Linked DNA regions of Kluyveromyces lactis. The protein of the gene in region 1 interacts with the protein of each later gene in a biochemical or structural test. Links are inferred from orthologs where the notes say so. Each region holds a gene or a part of one and is shown in the gene's direction. Other genes may lie near its edges.

Region 1 (5,362 bases):
ACCAGAAGTTGCGAAAAAAAAGAAAGCAGTGGGTGATTAAAGAAGCATGCCAAATTAAGAGATATCGCACTGCCCGTAACATACCGAAATATCACACGCACGGGAAAATTGAAGACGACATTTTCACCACTAGTTTCGTGCTTATGTTCGGTACCACAATGCAAACCGACAACAGAATATGCCTGAGTAGTGGACTTCCTCCGTGCACACAAGAGATAAAATTAAATCAAAAGAAGACTCTAGCAAGGCGTGCCATAATCCACGATAGAATCCTGGAAATCGTCTTACACTTAAAGTAGTAGTAACTATACGTAAAATAGCCGTTGCCAATGGGAATGGAAATAGCGCCTGCGCAAATTATGAGGATTTTCCGGCGACCATTCCTTATCCAACAGCGATGTTCCGGCTACAGAAGTATATTAGAAAAAAAATTCCTGCGGCTACATTGTATGTGTTGTAAAAGAAGAAAAGAGAGAAAGCAAAAAAAGACCAACAAAAACTTGGCGAGGGGAAAGGGGAAAAACGTATTATAGTTCACATTCCAGCCCATTTTCAAACTGGTCGTTAGGAAATACGTATGTTAGGGTGCACCCATTCTGGAAACGCTGCCTATATCTTTCGTGGACGGGAAGAGGATAAGGAACGTTTCATCTTAACTCCTGCCAGCTTCCGCTCATGGACAGTGTGTTTTTGGGTTCATCCGTAGGGGAATGGCACCACTTAGTGCTCTGGCGTGCGTTTTAATCCTGTTCAACATGCTTTTCAGTGGAAGGGTGTGAAAAGGGCCAAACATGCAATCGCCGCAGTAGATAAAACGTCGGATAAACCTTACATAGGAAGCTCAATGAATGGGAAAATATTATGCTCAGAATGGGAATTTTGCGTCAAGATGCGTGGGAAGTGGTGTGGTTTTTCCTACTGAGCTTTCTACTGAGTATTTCCAGCTGCTCATCTCGGAAAAACTAAGACAAAAAAAAGAAAATAGAAGACGTACAAAGTGCTTTGCGGAAAAACATTTTGTTTTTCTGCTGCGTGTTTGTCTTTGGTTTTTGGGTTCAGATTCGGATAAACAACCGTCGTTTATTGCATGCTTTCTATCGCTTCTACGGCAAACCTGTGCCCCTGGTATATGTGGCACCATACGTCTCCCAATAGACACCTTTCAATTTTCATAGCTTAGCGAGGGGTTGGATATCAACAACAATAACCGGACTGTTTATCTTTTTTTTATTGATCTACCGGTTCTTTTAGAACGATTACGTCCAACTGGTCAACGTTTTTGTCTTTGTATGGTGAAAATCTTGAAAAAAAATCCACTTAGAAAAAAAAAGGAAGCAGTCAAACATTTTTCCCCCTGGAACCATTTTTTGAAGCTTTACAAAAAGAGTAGTAGAAAATATGGGAAGAGGTTGAATATTACTGTGATTTGCTTGGTAACATTGGTTTCCCGTCGTGTCTGTGCGTGTGTGTATATCGGTCATTGTCTGATTTCAATAACTTATAAACAAAGTTAGGGAAAAATCGAGACTACGCGGACTCTGAACAGCGGAGGAGTTCTACACATCAATATACGGACACAAATGTACTTCTAGAAAGTACCTTGCTATAACAATAGTGTATCTATCAGATTCCAGCCCTTGTGTTATCAATAATCAGCTTGAGCATTTATTTTCCTTTTGTCCTTATCTGGTCATTGACGGAGACTTCAGAGTTCTGGACTGGTTTTACTCATAACTCCGAATGCCATGAACAATAAAGAGGAGGAGCAAGACGTAACTGCAAGTTTCAACAGAAATGAACCAGATATAGCATCCTCCTCGAGTGTTGGATATTCAGGGTATGGAGAATATTTTCATAATAAGGAACTTCAACAGTTGGAAAGTGATGTTCAATTCAGACAGAAATATCAAAAAGAACATCGAGTTTCAAATCCTACACTTTTTCAAGGGTGTACTATCTATGTGAATGGACGTACGAATCCAACTCGATTTCAACTCCATAAACTAATTATTTTACATGGTGGGACTTTCAAGCATTACCTTAGTGGGAAGACTGCAGTCACCCATATACTTGCAACAGAGTTAAATGCATCCAAGAAATCATCTTTTGCCAATTTCAAGGTTGTCAGCCCCGAATGGGTTACTGAGTCTATTGCTCGAGGGAAGCTTTTACCATGGCAAGACTTTAGAATTGTCCAAGTTTCCAGATTACAGGGAAAGATTACAGATTTCGCAACAGTACGGAACTGTATGGATCCGAACTTCATTAATGCTTTTTTCAAATCCTCAAGACTACACCATTTATCGAACTGGAAATTCCAGTTAAGAGATAACTTCGTGAAAGAATTCATTTTGTCATATAACGACACAATTCCTGATCAAAAATATGTGTATTTCCACATTGACTTTGATTGCTTCTTTGCCCAAGTGTCTGCTAAAATCGATGGTAAATACGATATACATGCCACACCTATCGCTATTTCTCATGGTATCAACAATTCTGATATATCCAGCTGCAATTATGTGGCTCGTTCTTTTGGTGTTTATAACGGTATGTGGGTATCATCTGCTTTGAAACTATGCCCGGACTTGAAAATATTAGATTATGAATTTGATGAATATGAAGCAATTTCAAATTTATTCTACAGCGCTCTAAAAGATATTGGAATCTTCAAAATGGTATTGCCAATTTCTATAGATGAAGCAATAGGTTGCATGTTGATTACCCCCGATATTACCTCTGAATTGTTAACTCAAAAATGCATGCAAGTGAGAAATGCCGTCTATAATGTTACTCAAGGATACTCTGTCAGTGTTGGGTGCGGGCCATCCGTATTGCTAGCTCGTTTAGCCCTAAGGAAAGGGAAACCAAACGGGTTCCATATTTCTTGGTTTGATACTGTTACTGAATGCCATGCATTCATAGATCACTTTAAGTTAAAAGATCTTCCTGGTATTGGTTATAGCACAGATCTGAAAATAAAAGAACAATTTGGAAATGTTCAAAACATCTCTGACTTAAGAGATCTTTTAGAAAGGCCAAGCAACGTTTCTAAACTAATAAAAGTGATTGGTTCCAAAAATACCAAGAAACTTCAGATTTACCTTGATGGTAAAGATGACGACGAATCCATAAGTATGGTAAAGGATCCTCATACGTACTTTCAAAAGAAATCCCTCTCAGTAGAAATAAATTATGCCATAAGGTTTAAGACCATAGACGATGTTGATATTTTCCTTGAACGGCTCGCACTCCATTTATGGGAAAAACTTAGGGATTCAAATTTAATGACAAGACAAATAACTTTGAAATTAATGAAGAGAGCTCAAGGCGCACCTGTAGATCCACCAAAATTCATGGGTATGGGTAAATGTGACGCTCTTAGTAAAGTCAGTAACTTAGGAACTAATACACAAAAATTTGGTACAATTGCTTCGGAATGTAAAACTTTATTTAGAATCTTAAGTGTTCCTCCAGAGGAAGTTAGAGGAATTGGTATTCAATTTCACAGGTTAACTGATTCGAACCAAAAAGTGGGGCAAAAGTCGGAACAAAGGGAAATTACGACTGATTTATTTAGAAAACGAGACCATCCGGATGATGACATCACTAACGAACCCTCCAAAGTAGCCGAGCCACATACTCCAGTTAACCCAACATATACTTCTCCCGTAAAAAACTATTGGGATCGCCATCTAAAGCGAAGTATCACCCCATTTCAATATGACTTTCCTGACCAACTCGATCCTGAATTTATGTCCAATTTACCCAAAGATGTTCAAGAAGAGATTACATCTCATCATAAGGTTGTTAAAAAAGCCAATCGTTCTTTGAGAACAAAATTGTACGATGATCCCAGAAAGCAAATTAAGCAGACGCAAGATTTACACTTCATACACGATGGGAGGCTTGTTCCGCAGCTTTCGTTCCAGGGATTAAGTTCTGCGAAACAGATTTCTGAAACTCTTATCGACTGGGTGGACGCCACAGTGGAGGATGGCCCCCATGAAAAAGATCTTGAGTTATTCACTAGCTATCTTGATAAGTTAGCGGAGCAAGGCAGATGTCATATTATACTACATTTGATTAAAACCATAAAAAATAGGGTTGATGATCACTACAACGCGAATCATGAAGGTTTAGAGCAATGGGAATACTTCTTGATTCGTCGACTAATTCCTATATTAAATAAAGCAAAACCTGATGTGAAGTTCAACTTAGTGTTTGATTTATAATTGAATATCCATCTAATACTTGTTGGGATGAAAGCATGCATGATCATTGCGCCCAATTTTTTTAATTAGTAATTACTCTTTCCATGCACTCATTTGTTTATTAATTATTCATCTTTCGACACAACGTAAGTATAATAGTAGAGTACAATCTAATTGTCTTTTTCTTTACCTAAAATATATATATTAATTAGAAAATGTTTGTCTATGGCTTCATAAGTTGCATAATCAAGTCTAATGGTGATCGACAAGATTTTAGTCCAATTTTACCCAGTATCTTAAACGGTCAAGACACGTAGAGTGTTGGAGTTACCGACACCAGCGGCGAAACCTTGAATGGTGACAATGGTGTCACCGTCAACCAAAATTCCGAATTCCTTGGCCTTCTTGACACCGAAGTTGATTCTCTTTTCAACATCGACAGTCCATTCGGAGTCAGAGGATTCATCGTATACGAATGGGAAGACACCTCTATATAGATGAGAGAATCTAGCAGCTCTTGGGTTTCTAGTAACCATAACAATTGGGACATTTGGCTTGTACTTGGCAACCAATCTTGGAGTGTCACCGGTGGTGGATAGGACAATCAAAGCTCTGGCCTTTTGTTCAAATACAGCAGAAACAGAAGCAGCAGCGATAGTTTCAGTGGTTGAGGTTGGCTTTGGAGTCAAGTTTCTTAAGTCATCGTAAGTTGGGATGTATGGGATGGCTTGTTCAGCAATCAAAGCAGTTTCAGCCATGGTCTTAACGGCATTGATTGGGTAGTTACCCTTGGCAGTTTCACCAGACAACATAACACAGTCAGCACCATCAAGAACGGCGTTACCAACATCAGAGACTTCAGCTCTGGTTGGTCTTGGGTTGTAGGTCATGGATTCCAACATTTGGGTAGCACAGATAACTGGCTTACCAGCCAAGTTACACTTAGCAATCAACTTCTTTTGCACAGCAAACACTTGAGGAGCTGGAATTTCAATACCCAAATCACCTCTAGCAACCATAACACCGTCAGTGACCTTCAAGATATCGTCAAAGTTGTTGACACCTTGTTGGTTTTCAATCTTAACAATGATCTTGATATCCTTACCTTGCTCACCCAAAACTTCTCTGATAGTCAAAACATCTTGAGC
Region 2 (5,123 bases), about 580 kb from region 1:
CTATTGAGTCTATTTTCAGAATTTTGAATGAGCTGGCTATGGCTGCTGACAAAGATGTTGGTTCTTTTGAGTATGTCTTCAACAGGTTGGTGGGTGCTGCTAACGAGGTATTGTCGCAATTGAACACTATTGATCCAATTGTTGTTCCAGATCTTGATCAAGACATTCAGGCAACAGACGAAGAGTTACCATCATTAGACCTTGCGTGGAAATACGAAGCAATTATGGGTTTCTTAAAGAGTGTGCTCAGAAAATACTCGGATGAGTTTAGCGTTCTGACGGAAAAGTTCATCAATGATGTATTACAAGGCGTGCCACATGAACCCACCAAGCAACAATTGAACAGATGGATTTCGGAAGTTTCAGAATTATGAGCGTGAACCAGAACTACTTGCCAGCTTATATCCAGGTATATTGATTTCGAATTGACATCAAAGTTCTCGATACGATGGGTTGTTTGCTAATGATACCCTCCTAGTCATGTTCTCTTTTTTGATGCCTTTCTGCATCGTTGTGTATTATATAAGATAAGAGTCGTTGTTGTTTATAATTATTAAGTCCAAAAGCTTTAATTAATAAGTTACAGAAACTGTCCGGTATTTTAATCATCTATGTATGACGGTATTGTAAGTGTCTACTCTAGTGAGCATGTCATGATATCTTTGTTGGTCTTCCACAGATTCTGGTGGTTCTGCAGACTCATCTATATCGTAACTGAAGTTACTGGAGCGAGAGCCCACATGTGATGCAGGGGTTGTATTATGCATGAAGGCGTCAGACGGGTAAGGTCGTAAATATGGAGTTGAGAATTCGGAGTCCGTTCTAGATCTGGCATCAGTGTCATAATCTTCAGTAGGAACGTGAAGAAATTGGGATGGGACAGACTCGATTCTTGTTAAATCCAAATTATTCGATAAATCAGCGAGATATTTGTAGAGTCTTAAGAATTTTACGAAATCGTTTCGTTCAATATCTTGTCCACTAAATCGGAATTTCTCATAAAGCGAGATAAACTCATCCAAATACTGCTTATAAGGGTGTTTTTCATTCTCGAAAAGTTTATGAAGTGCTGTTTTGAAAGTTGTACTGAGATCCGATTCAGTGACAAAATTCAACAGCAAAGCCCCGTCGAATCTAAACCTATCAGAGATAAATTTAACAATTTCCGCATATTTCAAGTGTTCAGGAAACATATCACTGTCTTTTGGTTCCATGCCAGCATGTAAGACAGGCTCTTTCGGTACTTTAAACTTTTCCGCCAATTCTCCAGCTCTCTTCATATTTTCAATCACATATTCCCTTGAAGGTTTATGACGCATATCCTGCGCAGTTACTGGAATGTATTTCTTCGGTATATCTTGTAATGATCTTCGAAAGATCAATACACGAGCAAAACTAATAGAAATCCCAAATACCACTAATACAACAGCTGCACCGACCACAATAAAGGTATTAACTGCATCGTTGCTAGAGTCTGACGCTTGCACAATACAATCTAAAGGAACAACAACAGAAAAACCAACAAATAAAAGGATGAATATCACCTGCGTGGTATGATACCATATTTTATACCAACTTGTTACCATTCCAACTCATCTCTATAACAGTTATAATATAACATATAATCTCACACAGTGTGTCGAAAACGTACTTCTAAACGGAGATAAGTATTGGATGGAAACAGTCCTGGATTACAGTCTTCTCTGGTAGTAATTGAACTTAAACCCCGCAGAACCCCGCTATTTTCAGTTATCCAGAGTTAAGTCCGATCTTTTCGGGATTGTTAGCACTAAAACTCATATAGAATCCAAGTTCTTTCTCTCTCTCTCTCTATACTTTTATTGTCTGACATTGGGAAATGAAATTGTTTCGATGCTTTGAAATTTCAGCTTGTGGTACTTCATAGGAATACGAACCGATTTCTCTTTTGTTTCTATTTTGTTTCTTATTTCCATTATGTTTCCACAACGTGGTATTTTCTGGAAGTTTTCAAGTTCGAAGTTTTTTTTATTCACAAAAACTTTATTCATTTACGCGTCACGTGCGTTTGTTTTGCATTAAGAAATTGTTAACTTATTCGCGTCTCATCTCAGCTCATCTCTTTACTAATCATTTCAGGCACAGCAAAGGAATACTTGGAACACTACCCATATATATCTTTCAGTTGACCTGATTCTAGCAATACGGGCACCCAAAGTATGACACAGCCGCAAAAAGCTGATGAAAAACCAAGGTTCTTTCGTGATGAAGATGAATCTGTAATAAATTTGAACGAATCTCGATCTCTTTTTGTACAGGATGAGGCAGATGATTCTGATGATGGCCAAGGACATGTTGAAAGTTCCTCAGAAGTATCAAGTAATACATCTAATCATAAGGAAAGGTTTTTTGAATCTTTGAAGGAGATTCTTGGAGAAAATATGATTTCGTCCTCTCAACTCCACACTCTTTGGAGTTCATATGGTCTGCTCAAAGATGGTATAAGTATTGCAGCTGATAAATTCTTTGAGGACAAGGAATTACTTTCCAAAAGTAAAACTGAATCTAAAATGCCGGCTGGTGATAATATAGAGGTGATAGATTTGTCGGATGAAGAAAATGATGACGAATTGTCTATTCTGCCGTCTTCGTCCCAATTATCCCAACTGTTTACAAATAAGAGGACCAGCACCCAAGCAGGTTTAGAATCACCTATGTCATCTGACAAGGGAAGGAACCGATGGTCTCGTTACATTGGGTCTATTCATACTATGGGATTCGCTACACGGCCAACCGTAAAACCAGTTCCTATCGGATCCCGTTTAGGTTTTAAAAAATCTGTACCGAAGGATCTTCCCTTAGGTAAATCACTTCAGCACCAGCACTGTTCGCATTTAGTTCGCTTAATCGATACCTCACAGGATAGAGAACTTGGTCGAATGCCTGAAGATGTTGCAAGAATATTGTACCCACTTTTAGACTACAGCGAACAGGTCAGTCTGGAGCCATATCTTCTCATTAATAATGGTAAGAGATTCAGTGTTGGAGATAATATTTACATCAGAATTGATTGTTATTTGACCTCACAGGCTTTCGTCCGCATTGAAGGCGGAAGTATTCTGAACAAATCTTTTATCAATGACCATGGCATGGACACACGTCAGTTGCATCGCGCCGGAGCGATAATGGCATTGTTTGATGCGATAAATATACAACCAGTGTACGGAGACACCAAAAATGAGATGATACCTAACTACCAAGAAAACACTGTTTCTAGTTCCCAGTTTCAGGATGAAGCTTTGAACATCAATCAACTAAAATCATTTTACAGAATTACACAGTCCGCGGCCTCATTGCAAAACTTACCAGAAACTACCCCAGATGAATCACTTTTTAAATTGCAATTGAGAAGGTACCAAAAGCAAAGTTTGTCATGGATGCTCAAAAGAGAATACGAGTATAGTCATTTATCAGAGAAAGCCGCAGAAGTGTCTATTGATGGGAATAGTATGAATCCACTATGGAAGAAATTCCGCTGGCCATCTAATTCAAAACAAGGGACTCCAAACCACGAAGATGATTGCTTCTTTTATGCTAATTTATACACTGGTGAGTTTTCTATCGAGAAGCCGGTCATTAAGACGATAATCAATGGAGGTATTTTGGCGGATGAGATGGGTCTAGGGAAAACAATATCAGCTTTAGCATTGATTTGTACTGCTAGCTATGATGAGGCTCATGAAAAGAAAATTGAGTCAACCAAAAAGCCTTCTATGAAGGAGATGTCTTCTCAAGTGGATTCCTCTCCATTACGCCATTCTCAACATAAGCATGACACTTATGCTTACAGGACGACGTTGATAGTAGTGCCGATGTCCTTATTGAATCAGTGGCAATCAGAATTCGAAAAGGCCAACAAGGACCTCAAAAAACGTTGTGAAATTTATTACGGGAATAATATTAAAGATTTAAGGGCGTATGTGCTTGGCCCCAACGCTCCCTCAGTAATCATAACTACTTATGGGATAATTCAGAGCGAATATGGGAGAACCTCAACATCGGGATTATTCAATGTGGTCTTCTTTAGAATAATATTGGATGAAGGTCATACGATTAGAAATAGAAGTACAAGGACATCTAAAGCTGTCATAGCCTTGCGGAGTTCCAGAAAATGGATCTTGACAGGAACACCAATCATCAATCGACTTGACGATCTATTTTCCTTAGTTCAGTTCTTGAACTTAGAGCCCTGGTCTCACATCAACTATTGGAAGCGTTACGTTTCAGTTCCTTTCGAGAAAGGTAACTATGCGCAGGCATTTGATGTCATAAATGCAGTATTGGAGCCTGTGCTTCTCAGAAGAACGAAGAATATGAAGGATGTTGATGGCAAACCTTTAGTCTCTTTACCTCCAAAGGAAGTAATCGTCGAAAAGTTGCAACTTTCATCCAGTGAGAAAAGAGTTTATCAATCCATGTTAGAAGATGCGGAAAACTCTGTTAAAGAAGGGTTGGCCAAAGGTGATCTATTGAAGAACTACACTAATATCTTGGTCCATATTTTAAGACTTAGACAAGTCTGCTGTCATTTGGATTTACTCAAAAAGACACCAGATCTCGGAGACCCAGATCTTGAAGATCTGGAGAACTCAACTCAAAACATCTCCTCCATCCTCATGCCAAAAAATATTAAGTCACCAAAAAGTTCCATTTCTCAAGATAAATTGGATGCTTTAAGTGCGAACTTTCGTGATATTCACAGCGCTTCAGAGCAATTACCTTCTTTTGAATGTGCTATTTGCACCACTGAGTGTATTGAACCGCTGTCTGCGGTCTCTATAACAGAGTGTCTCCACACATTTTGTGAACCTTGTTTGGCAGAATACATTGAATTTCAGCAAAATAAAAAACTATCCATCAACTGTCCATATTGTAGAATGCCGATCTCAGAAGCTAATGTGTTAAAGCTAAAGGAGCCAATTGATGCTGAAAGAGGATATGAACTAATTTCGTTTCATTCACATTTCCAATCGACTAAAATTAAAGCTTTATTGAGGCATCTCAAGCAAATACAAGAAACTTCTCCTGGTGAACAAATAATCGTATTTTCTCAGTTCTCATCATTCCTAGACATTCTAGAAATA
Region 3 (4,397 bases), on another chromosome or scaffold:
TTTCGAGTTTTTTCAATGGTATTGATACTTTTATTTTCCAACGTACTAAGATCCAATTTAATAGCAAACAATATTAAATCTTTGTCTATTACTCACCAAGATATACCTGAAATCTCTTTTGTGAGTTGGTTATATTGGTCCATTTCACTGACAAACATTATATTCTTTCGACATTGTATTTCTCTTGTTTCACTTGTCGGATCATAATTTGAAATGAAGTATACTTTTCTGTGACTTTTAAGGGTTTTCATGCTATTGTTTAGTACTTGATAGCAAAATGGGACTGTACAAATATAGTTCTTTCTCTCATGTGATTGATTGACTTATGAGAAGCAGGTGCTTCTATTAGAAAATCGTTTACTTGTGGGCCCTGATTCTTATGGTTATATAGTATTTTTGCACATAGTTTTTTTTCCATGCAGTGGACGTTGATTCCCATTGTAACCTTGTGGAGCGCTGTAATACTCTAACAGGTATCTTAAAGCACCGACAGCGGTCCATCCGATACGCCTCTTACTTTTCAAGCGTTGATGATGTATCCTTTCCACTGTATTAAAGAGCATCATCATGACTTAAAGAAAAAGATAACAAAATGAAAACCATGCAGACCGTTCAATGTTGTACACCTTAAAGTAAAATAAGAAATAACAAGGACAAGCTGGAAGACCGTTGATGCCGTTACCGCTACAAGAAAGTACAATGTCCGATGACTCTGTAGATCGTGTGTTTGAGAAAGCTATTGTTACAATTCAAACCCTTTCCTCTCAAAAAGGGTATCACTCATTACCAAGACCACCAGCGAATGTGAGGATTCAACTATATGCATTGTTCAAACAGTCCACAGAAGGAGACGTCAGCCATATATTGGATAAGCCGGACGGTAATCCTACATCACCGGATTATAACTTAGCCTTACGTAAATGGGAGGCATGGAAGAGTAAGGAAGGATTGTCGAAGACTGAAGCTAAAAGAGCCTACATTGAATTGTTGATCCACACCATGAAGACATACGCTATGGGGACCATCGTTGCGCGAGAACTACTTTCAGAATTAGAGTTTATGTGGTGGCAGATAAGCCATTCTAATACGTTTGATGGAAATGAGGGGCCTGAATATCAAGATGAAACGAATAGTGTATTGATGCTAACAAATGATAACGACATGGATAACGGATCAGAGAAGATTAGAAGAGAAGTATATGAGACTCTCGCTACCCTACGACCCAATTCAATCCAAAATGGTATAAGTCTCGCGCCGATCGGATCAGGTCTATCTGATAAGAGTGAAGAATTCTATGCTATTTGGATCACCCTCAAAAGAATACTGACAAAGCTTCTCACAATCAGTAGAGGCATAGTAACATACCTCGGGAAGCGTATAATGTCTCAATCGCTCATACTACTATTCATGTTGTTTGTCGTAAAATATTCCGACAAATCTATTGATCTAGCTCTAGATAAAGTAGACTCCCGTCATTCTTCATGGATATCTAAACTAATTCAGTTATTAAGCCAATTCACAGGGATAAGTAAGGTCAGTCTACAAGTTCAATAATTAAGTAAATAAGTCATCGCGTCCTACTAGCCATACACCTAGAGTGGTGAGGAACTGAATTATATGCATTTAAGTAATGACTCTTTATCGGCGTTCCTATTCCTATTTACTTTTTTCTTTTTGAACAAGTCATCTCATCTCATCTCTTGTTCTGTTGAATTGTACGGGGTTCATTAAAACAAGTGCCTTAGTACAACGTAGATATTCGAAGTGAAATGGAAACTAAAGTAAGCAGCTGGGTGCTAAAGATCGCATTTCAGGAAATTGATGGTATAGCATAATGTCGAAATACAGATGGCGAGATTTGATTGATTTGAATGACAAAGAGAAGAGCTTTCTTTCTCCATTAGCATGCATTGCACACATTGATGTCAATGCCTTTTTTGCACAGGTAGAACAGGTACGATGCGGTTTTTCAAGGGATGATCCGGTAGTTGCAGTACAATGGACTAGTATTTTAGCCGTTTCTTATGCAGCTCGAAAGTATAATGTGTCCCGCATGGAGAGCATACTTGATGCGATAAAAAAGTGTGATAAAATCATTCCGATACACACAGCTGTTTTCCGTAAAGGGGAAGACTATTGGCAGTACCATGATGGGTGCGGATCATGGGTAGAAGACGAGAGTAAAAAGTTAAGTCCAACAAACTATAAAGTTGCCTTAGAACCGTACAGAAGAGAAAGTCGCAAACTCATCAAATTATTTCAAGATGAATACGATTTAGTTGAGAAAGCCAGTGTGGACGAAGCTTTCATAGAATTGGGACGCAAATTATTTTATGAACTTCTCATGGATGATTCCTATACCGATTTTGCTGATATTAGGGGTATTTTCCAGGATGGAAGGTACGATTTAAATGACCATTTACCCAGTTTACCAACTAAACTCAGCATTCAGTTCAGTGGAGAGGTATTCAATTCACAGAATAGGCCCTTATTTGAGGATTGGGATGATGTCCTTATGTGCTTAGCAAGTAATTCTACTAACACAATCAGAAACCAAATTGATGATATGTTGGGATATACCACATCTTGTGGTATATCAATGACGAAGAATCTTAGCAAGCTTGCTTCTAATTACAAGAAACCCAATGCGCAAACCATTGTAAAGAACAACTGTATAGATGATTTCCTTGATTGCGGGAAGTTTGAAATCAATTCCTTTTGGACATTGGGTGGCATACGTGGAAAGGAATTAATTGATTTGATGGAACTTCCCAAAGAACATTCTATAAAGTTCATTAGAGATTCATGGCCAGTTTCAAGCGATGACATCAGAAAATTCATGCTCAAGAAAATCATATGCAGAGATATACAAAGGTCTAGAGAGTACAACATTAATGAAGCCGATGTTGCCAAAATAAGTGCGAAAATCTATCAATTAGTAAGAGGCCAATTCAGGTTGCCTGTCGAACCGCGACCATTGCCAAAATCTATGATGTCGAAGAAAAATTTGAGAAATGATGATTGTGCTAGCGTTATTGACTGCATTGAATGGCTTGAAATCTTTTGCAGTGAACTAAACTACCGTGTACATGACTTAGAACAAGAATATGAAAAGGTAATAATGCCAAGAACAATTGTTATCATGATTAAGGGCAAAGCAGGCATGAAATATACTCAAACCCGAAGAATCACTACCGCTTCAAGTAGTATAACGTCCAGAGAGTTATTCATCAATGCAACAAAATTGATAAACGAGATTGATAAGCAACATGGCAAGCTTGCCGGTGTTTACCCTTTGAGAGAACTCTCGTTGACTCTTTCCAATTTTGATATAATAGACAAGGGGAAAACTGTCCTTGATATGTTCGGTAATCGAGCAATCTCAAAATCATCTTCAACTGATAACAACGTCGTAAAGATAGAAGGTGAAGACATACATTCAGATTCGAAAGGTGGCCCTTATGATGCGTCTGTTTCAGAGACACTCGAGGGAGAACCACCAAGTGCTTCTTCTCCTCCTACAATGGCTGAAAATTTAACTTGCAAACAGTGCGGGGAAACTCTACAGGACAAAAAACTGTTCCAAGAGCACGTCGATTATCATCTATCAGTTCAATTATCAGAACAGATTAACGGAGTATCAGAGAACTCAACAATGCTGACGCACGCAGAAAGAATCCTTCTCTTCGGAAAGAAAGCTAAGAAGAATGCCGCATCAGTGCAAAAACCCAAAAAAAAAGATGGAGGAATCATGAAGTTCTTCAAGAAGTGATAAATCTCCACCCACATATACTTGTATATTTATAGTTAATCGTATCATCGTCTTACCAGTGGCATTTATATGAGGAGCGTGGTTAGTAACGAGGTTCCAGTCGCATATCCGGGTAATATCTTGCTTTTCGTCTTTCTTTCTTTTCTGAATTCCACATTCGATTTCGAACTTAAAATAGACAATTAAGAGATCCAATGTTTGTTAAATAAGTGTGTAAGTTGTAATTTTAGCCAGATCTTTTTAACCTCAAAAGGTCAACAGGAAGAGGGAAGCAAGCGATACCCAGCGTTAAAAGCAGCTAACGCACACATATTCTCTGAACAGCTTCCAGGCTGTTATACAGCTACTTTGGACTACAACTCATTTTCTTTTACAAGAACCACCTCATTAAATCTGGAGAAGCTTTCATTCTCAGATTATAGACGACATTCTCATTTGGATGTGTTTTGTCAAATCAAGATTCTACTATTGATACCTTTGAATGCACGTACGACGTAATACCTACCATTATCCACTGCTGTGGCTATTTGCTCTTATAATATGTTGCGAAGGACGGATACTTCCGAGCTGGTTTTGGCACTCATCGTCTATTTCTAAACATTTCGGTACTACTTCAGCGGCGAAC
Region 4 (3,780 bases), on another chromosome or scaffold:
GGCACAGTATGAGCTAGTACATTGTAGGCCGATTCAGTCCCAAATTCGAGCAAGCTCTTCCTTGTTGTGGAAATCTGGGATTTTCTTTTTTTCCTTTTCTTTATTTGTCGACCTTGAAGTTTCACCGGTTTCAAAAGAAAAAAGATGACACCGAGGCTATTTTTTTTTTTTTTTTTTTTTGGATTTCCCGCCGCTTGCAGGTACAACGGCTTCTGTGGGAAAACACTGATCAAGAAGCTGAGTCGAGGTGATGTATGTTTAGGGATCCGTATTGATTGCTTGGAAAAAAAATACATCGGGGCAGTAATAAAGGAAGGACACTGGCTTGAGGAATCAAATAGATGACTTGTCCCTCAGTTGCATTACACATACTTGTACGGTATATATGTGTGCATGTGTGGGGGGTGGGTGGAAAGGCACAAAGCAAGGTAGCTTTTTTTTTTTTTGATTTGATTCCTGAGATGTTTGTATGTTCTAAACCATATAATTTTTCAAGTGAAATACTTCTAAGTTTATCCGAAGAAACGAAAATACAAATTATGCATATATAAATAATTGTAACTTTTTAGTTTCAACCCTATTGCTGCTCCAATCTTGCTTGCAATATGCTTTATTCCCTCAATTGGGTTCATAATTGGGAAATTTGAACAAGCGAAATCCACACTATCAATTAACCTCATCAGACACAGATATGTCATTCCAAAGTTTCATCAAGACTCCAACTGAAGACACCGTCGTTCCACAAGCTCCTCCAACGGAACAGTACCCACAAGGTGTCAATTACCTCAATTTGTTCAGTCAAAAGGGCAAATTGACCGTTATTACTGGTGGTGCTGGTGCCATTGGTGGCGCTCTATGTGAGGGTTTCGCTTCTTGTGGTTCAGATGTCATTATTTTGGACAGAACCTTCCAACCAGAACTTTCCGTCCATTTGAGCAAGACTTACGGGATTGAATCCAAGTCATACCAAGTAGATATTACCAACGCTGACGACGTTAAATTTGTCTTTGAAAGAATCTTGGAAGATTTCCCAGGTCGTGCAATTAACACATTCATTGCTAACGCAGGTATTGCCTGGACTAACGGTTCTATCTTGAACGATGGTTCCACCCCAGAAATGTGGCGCAGAGTCATGGACGTTAACGTCCAAGGTACTTACCACTGTAGCAGGTACGCTGCTGAAGTATTCAAGAACCAAGGCCACGGTAATTTGATCTTGACTGCTTCTATGTCTAGTTACATCAGTAACGTTCCAAACTACCAAACCTGTTACAACGCTTCTAAAGCTGCAGTAAGACACATGGCCAAGGGTTTCGCCGTCGAATTCTCTGGTTTGACCTCTCCAGCTGGTAAGATCAGATGTAACTCTGTATCACCAGGTTACACTGATACTCTGCTATCCTCCTTCGTTCCTACTGAACAACGTGCTCACTGGTGGGGTCTAACACCAGTGGGTCGTGAAGCTTTGCCACAAGAATTGGTCGGTGCTTACTTATACTTGGCTTCCGATGCTGCTTCTTACACCAACGGTTGTGATATCCAAGTTGACGGTGGTTATACCTGTGTTTGAATCCTGTTGTAGAAAAAGCTTCGTCAACACCTATTACTGATAATTGTCACTGCCTTTTCCCCTACATCATGCTCAAAATATTTCTGTTTAACCTAACTACATTAAAAATAGAGTTAAAACTAGAGTGGTTCCTTCTCTTTCACATACTATGTAATAATTTTATATACCCAATTCTTATATGGGGTGATCATTAGTATCATACATCGACCCTTTCACTACTATTGCGAAGCTTCCCCCCATTGAGCCTTAATGTCTAATTGTCAACACTTTGTTACGCGTAAACGGTGCTAACCAAAAAAAAAAAAGACGCAACTTCACTCAATCATCATTTAGTGCTATCTGCACAGAGCGATGAGAATTGAAGAGAGAGAATAATAAAAAGAGCAAGCAAGCTCGAGCTGATCATCATCGAAATATGGTAACAGCGATAGAGAATTTTATCACGCAGAAACTCATCAATGACTGTAAACCTGTAACATTTTTAGACTTGTGCGATGAGTTTTCGATAAATGTGAACAAAGCAAAGAATGAGATGGTACAGTACTATAGCACTACGAGACATGAGTCGATCCAATGCATTGTAGTATGTGTTTTGAAGCACAATGTAATACAAATGATTACGGATCCCGAGAAACTACCGGAAAAGGAAGACATAAAGGATTTCTTCATCTATGCGTTCAACCCACTGGAAACTATTGATTTGACAAATAGAGAAAGAACACACGTTACGATCAAGAACCCCTACAAGCTGCACAATCAAAATGGCACACGGCCCCAGACAAGCGATGGTATTGGAAGTGTAATTAACATAACCACCCAAGATGTGACTCAAAAAATGGTGGCCGGCCCCAAGAAAAAGTCTGAGGCAGAACCGGTCGTAACGAAGCAACGGGCAAAGACGTTCCCAGAAGTTGCTGTTACAAAACCTAAGAAACCAACTAAGAGTATGGGTCTAAAATCTACTGAACTTCTGGCCAGAATGAGAAGAGAAAGAGAGGAGAAGGAGAAGAACAGACAAGAGGAATTGGAAAGGAGGAAGCACCAGCAGCAGGATAAAAATCACGTCGTGGTAAGCCAAGAGAAACAAAAACAATTGGACCAACTGGCCTCGATGTTTGACGATGATGATGACGATGATTTAGCCCAATTCGATAAAAATTCTAAAAAGCGTGATAAGAAAGAGGAAAGCGAAGAAGAGGCTGAAGTAAACCACCCTGTAGCGATAGAATCAGTACCTTCACAAGAATCACAACCAGTAAATCTAGACCGCACTGTCACAAACTTAGAAGAACTACTTGACACGACGGTAGACGAATCCTTAATGGAACTATCTCAACCAGAAAAGGAAAAGGAAAAGGAAAAAGAAGAGCCAGTCCACGAATCGAAAGAACAGACCACATATATAGACGAAGATGGATACATGGTTACTAAGAGACCAGCTACAGAAACGAAGAAACCACCAAAGCCTGTGAAATCAGCGAAAACGGCAGAACCGTCAAAGAAACCAGCAACACCAGTCGAGAAAAAGAAGGCTCGCTCCAGTCAACGTACACTTGAGAGTTTTTTCGGTAAGAAAAAGGGATGAGTAAATTAACTTGTGTATTTATTCAAATAGTTTCAAATAGATTCGGATGATACAGACGATACAAACGCTGGCACTGGCACTGACACCTAGATAGAAATATACGGCGACTCACGTGACCCAAAACAAAACATTAACACGTGAATAAGTTACCCGAATACACCGTACGCAACGATGTGAACAGGCCACCACGTCCCCTTCTTTGTGCGATTTCTTCTATCAGAGAAAAGGGGTGGTTAATATCGTTTCAAACGATTTATCTTGCCCTTTCTATTGAGATTGAAATTTAAGAATTTTGGATTAACAAAGATTATAAGACAGAGGAAATGATTAACTACCACATTGCCAGACAGCTTGTACGGCAATAAATTAATTGGTGTTTCATTATACTTTATTAAAGAGTGAGTTCACAAAAGTTAGATCGCTATAGCTTTAGACTGGGTTTTGAAGATTATTGCTCAATCACTTATCGCCCGTTGAAAATCTTTCCTTTTTATTTTGGACCGATATTCCAAATTACTCTTTCAATTGAATATTATCATCGCATTTTAAGAGTCCAAACGTTTTAAAGTTACTTCTGAAACTGGTTTTTTAATTATCCTTTAAGAAAGTTTTCAGACCTCAACGC

The links.
Region 2: the proteins of REV1 (region 1) and RAD5 form a complex in vitro, tested with the Saccharomyces cerevisiae proteins (2 studies listed by BioGRID, with this or other methods). The link is inferred for Kluyveromyces lactis from reciprocal best matches to the Saccharomyces cerevisiae genes REV1 and RAD5.
Region 3: the proteins of REV1 (region 1) and RAD30 form a complex in vitro, tested with the Saccharomyces cerevisiae proteins (3 studies listed by BioGRID). The link is inferred for Kluyveromyces lactis from reciprocal best matches to the Saccharomyces cerevisiae genes REV1 and RAD30.
Region 4: the proteins of REV1 (region 1) and POL32 form a complex in vitro, tested with the Saccharomyces cerevisiae proteins (2 studies listed by BioGRID). The link is inferred for Kluyveromyces lactis from reciprocal best matches to the Saccharomyces cerevisiae genes REV1 and POL32.

The regions. Positions count from the first base shown.
Region 1 is NC_006042.1:2,180,241-2,185,602, forward strand, and holds REV1 (deoxycytidyl transferase), read left to right. Parts: upstream 1-1,745; coding exon 1,746-4,235; downstream 4,236-5,362. Other genes in the region: pyruvate kinase PYK2, read right to left, coding at 4,511-5,362. UniProt on the Saccharomyces cerevisiae protein: Deoxycytidyl transferase involved in DNA repair. Transfers a dCMP residue from dCTP to the 3'-end of a DNA primer in a template-dependent reaction.
Region 2 is NC_006042.1:1,601,707-1,606,829, reverse strand, and holds the start of RAD5 (DNA helicase RAD5), read left to right. Parts: upstream 1-2,198; coding exon 2,199-5,123. Other genes in the region: STO1 (Sto1p), read left to right, coding at 1-374; DLT1 (Dlt1p), read right to left, coding at 606-1,586. UniProt on the Saccharomyces cerevisiae protein: Probable helicase, member of the UBC2/RAD6 epistasis group. Functions with the DNA repair protein RAD18 in error-free postreplication DNA repair.
Region 3 is NC_006037.1:167,261-171,657, reverse strand, and holds RAD30 (DNA-directed DNA polymerase eta), read left to right. Parts: upstream 1-1,834; coding exon 1,835-3,772; downstream 3,773-4,397. Other genes in the region: KLLA0_A01870g (acyl-CoA-binding domain-containing protein), read left to right, coding at 673-1,554; HKR1 (Hkr1p), read left to right, coding at 4,254-4,397. UniProt on the Saccharomyces cerevisiae protein: DNA polymerase specifically involved in DNA repair. Plays an important role in translesion synthesis, where the normal high fidelity DNA polymerases cannot proceed and DNA synthesis stalls. Plays an important role in the repair of UV-induced pyrimidine dimers.
Region 4 is NC_006041.1:1,996,202-1,999,981, forward strand, and holds POL32 (DNA polymerase delta subunit POL32), read left to right. Parts: upstream 1-1,985; coding exon 1,986-3,155; downstream 3,156-3,780. Other genes in the region: KLLA0_E22397g (uncharacterized protein), read left to right, coding at 692-1,570. UniProt on the Saccharomyces cerevisiae protein: DNA polymerase delta (DNA polymerase III) participates in chromosomal DNA replication.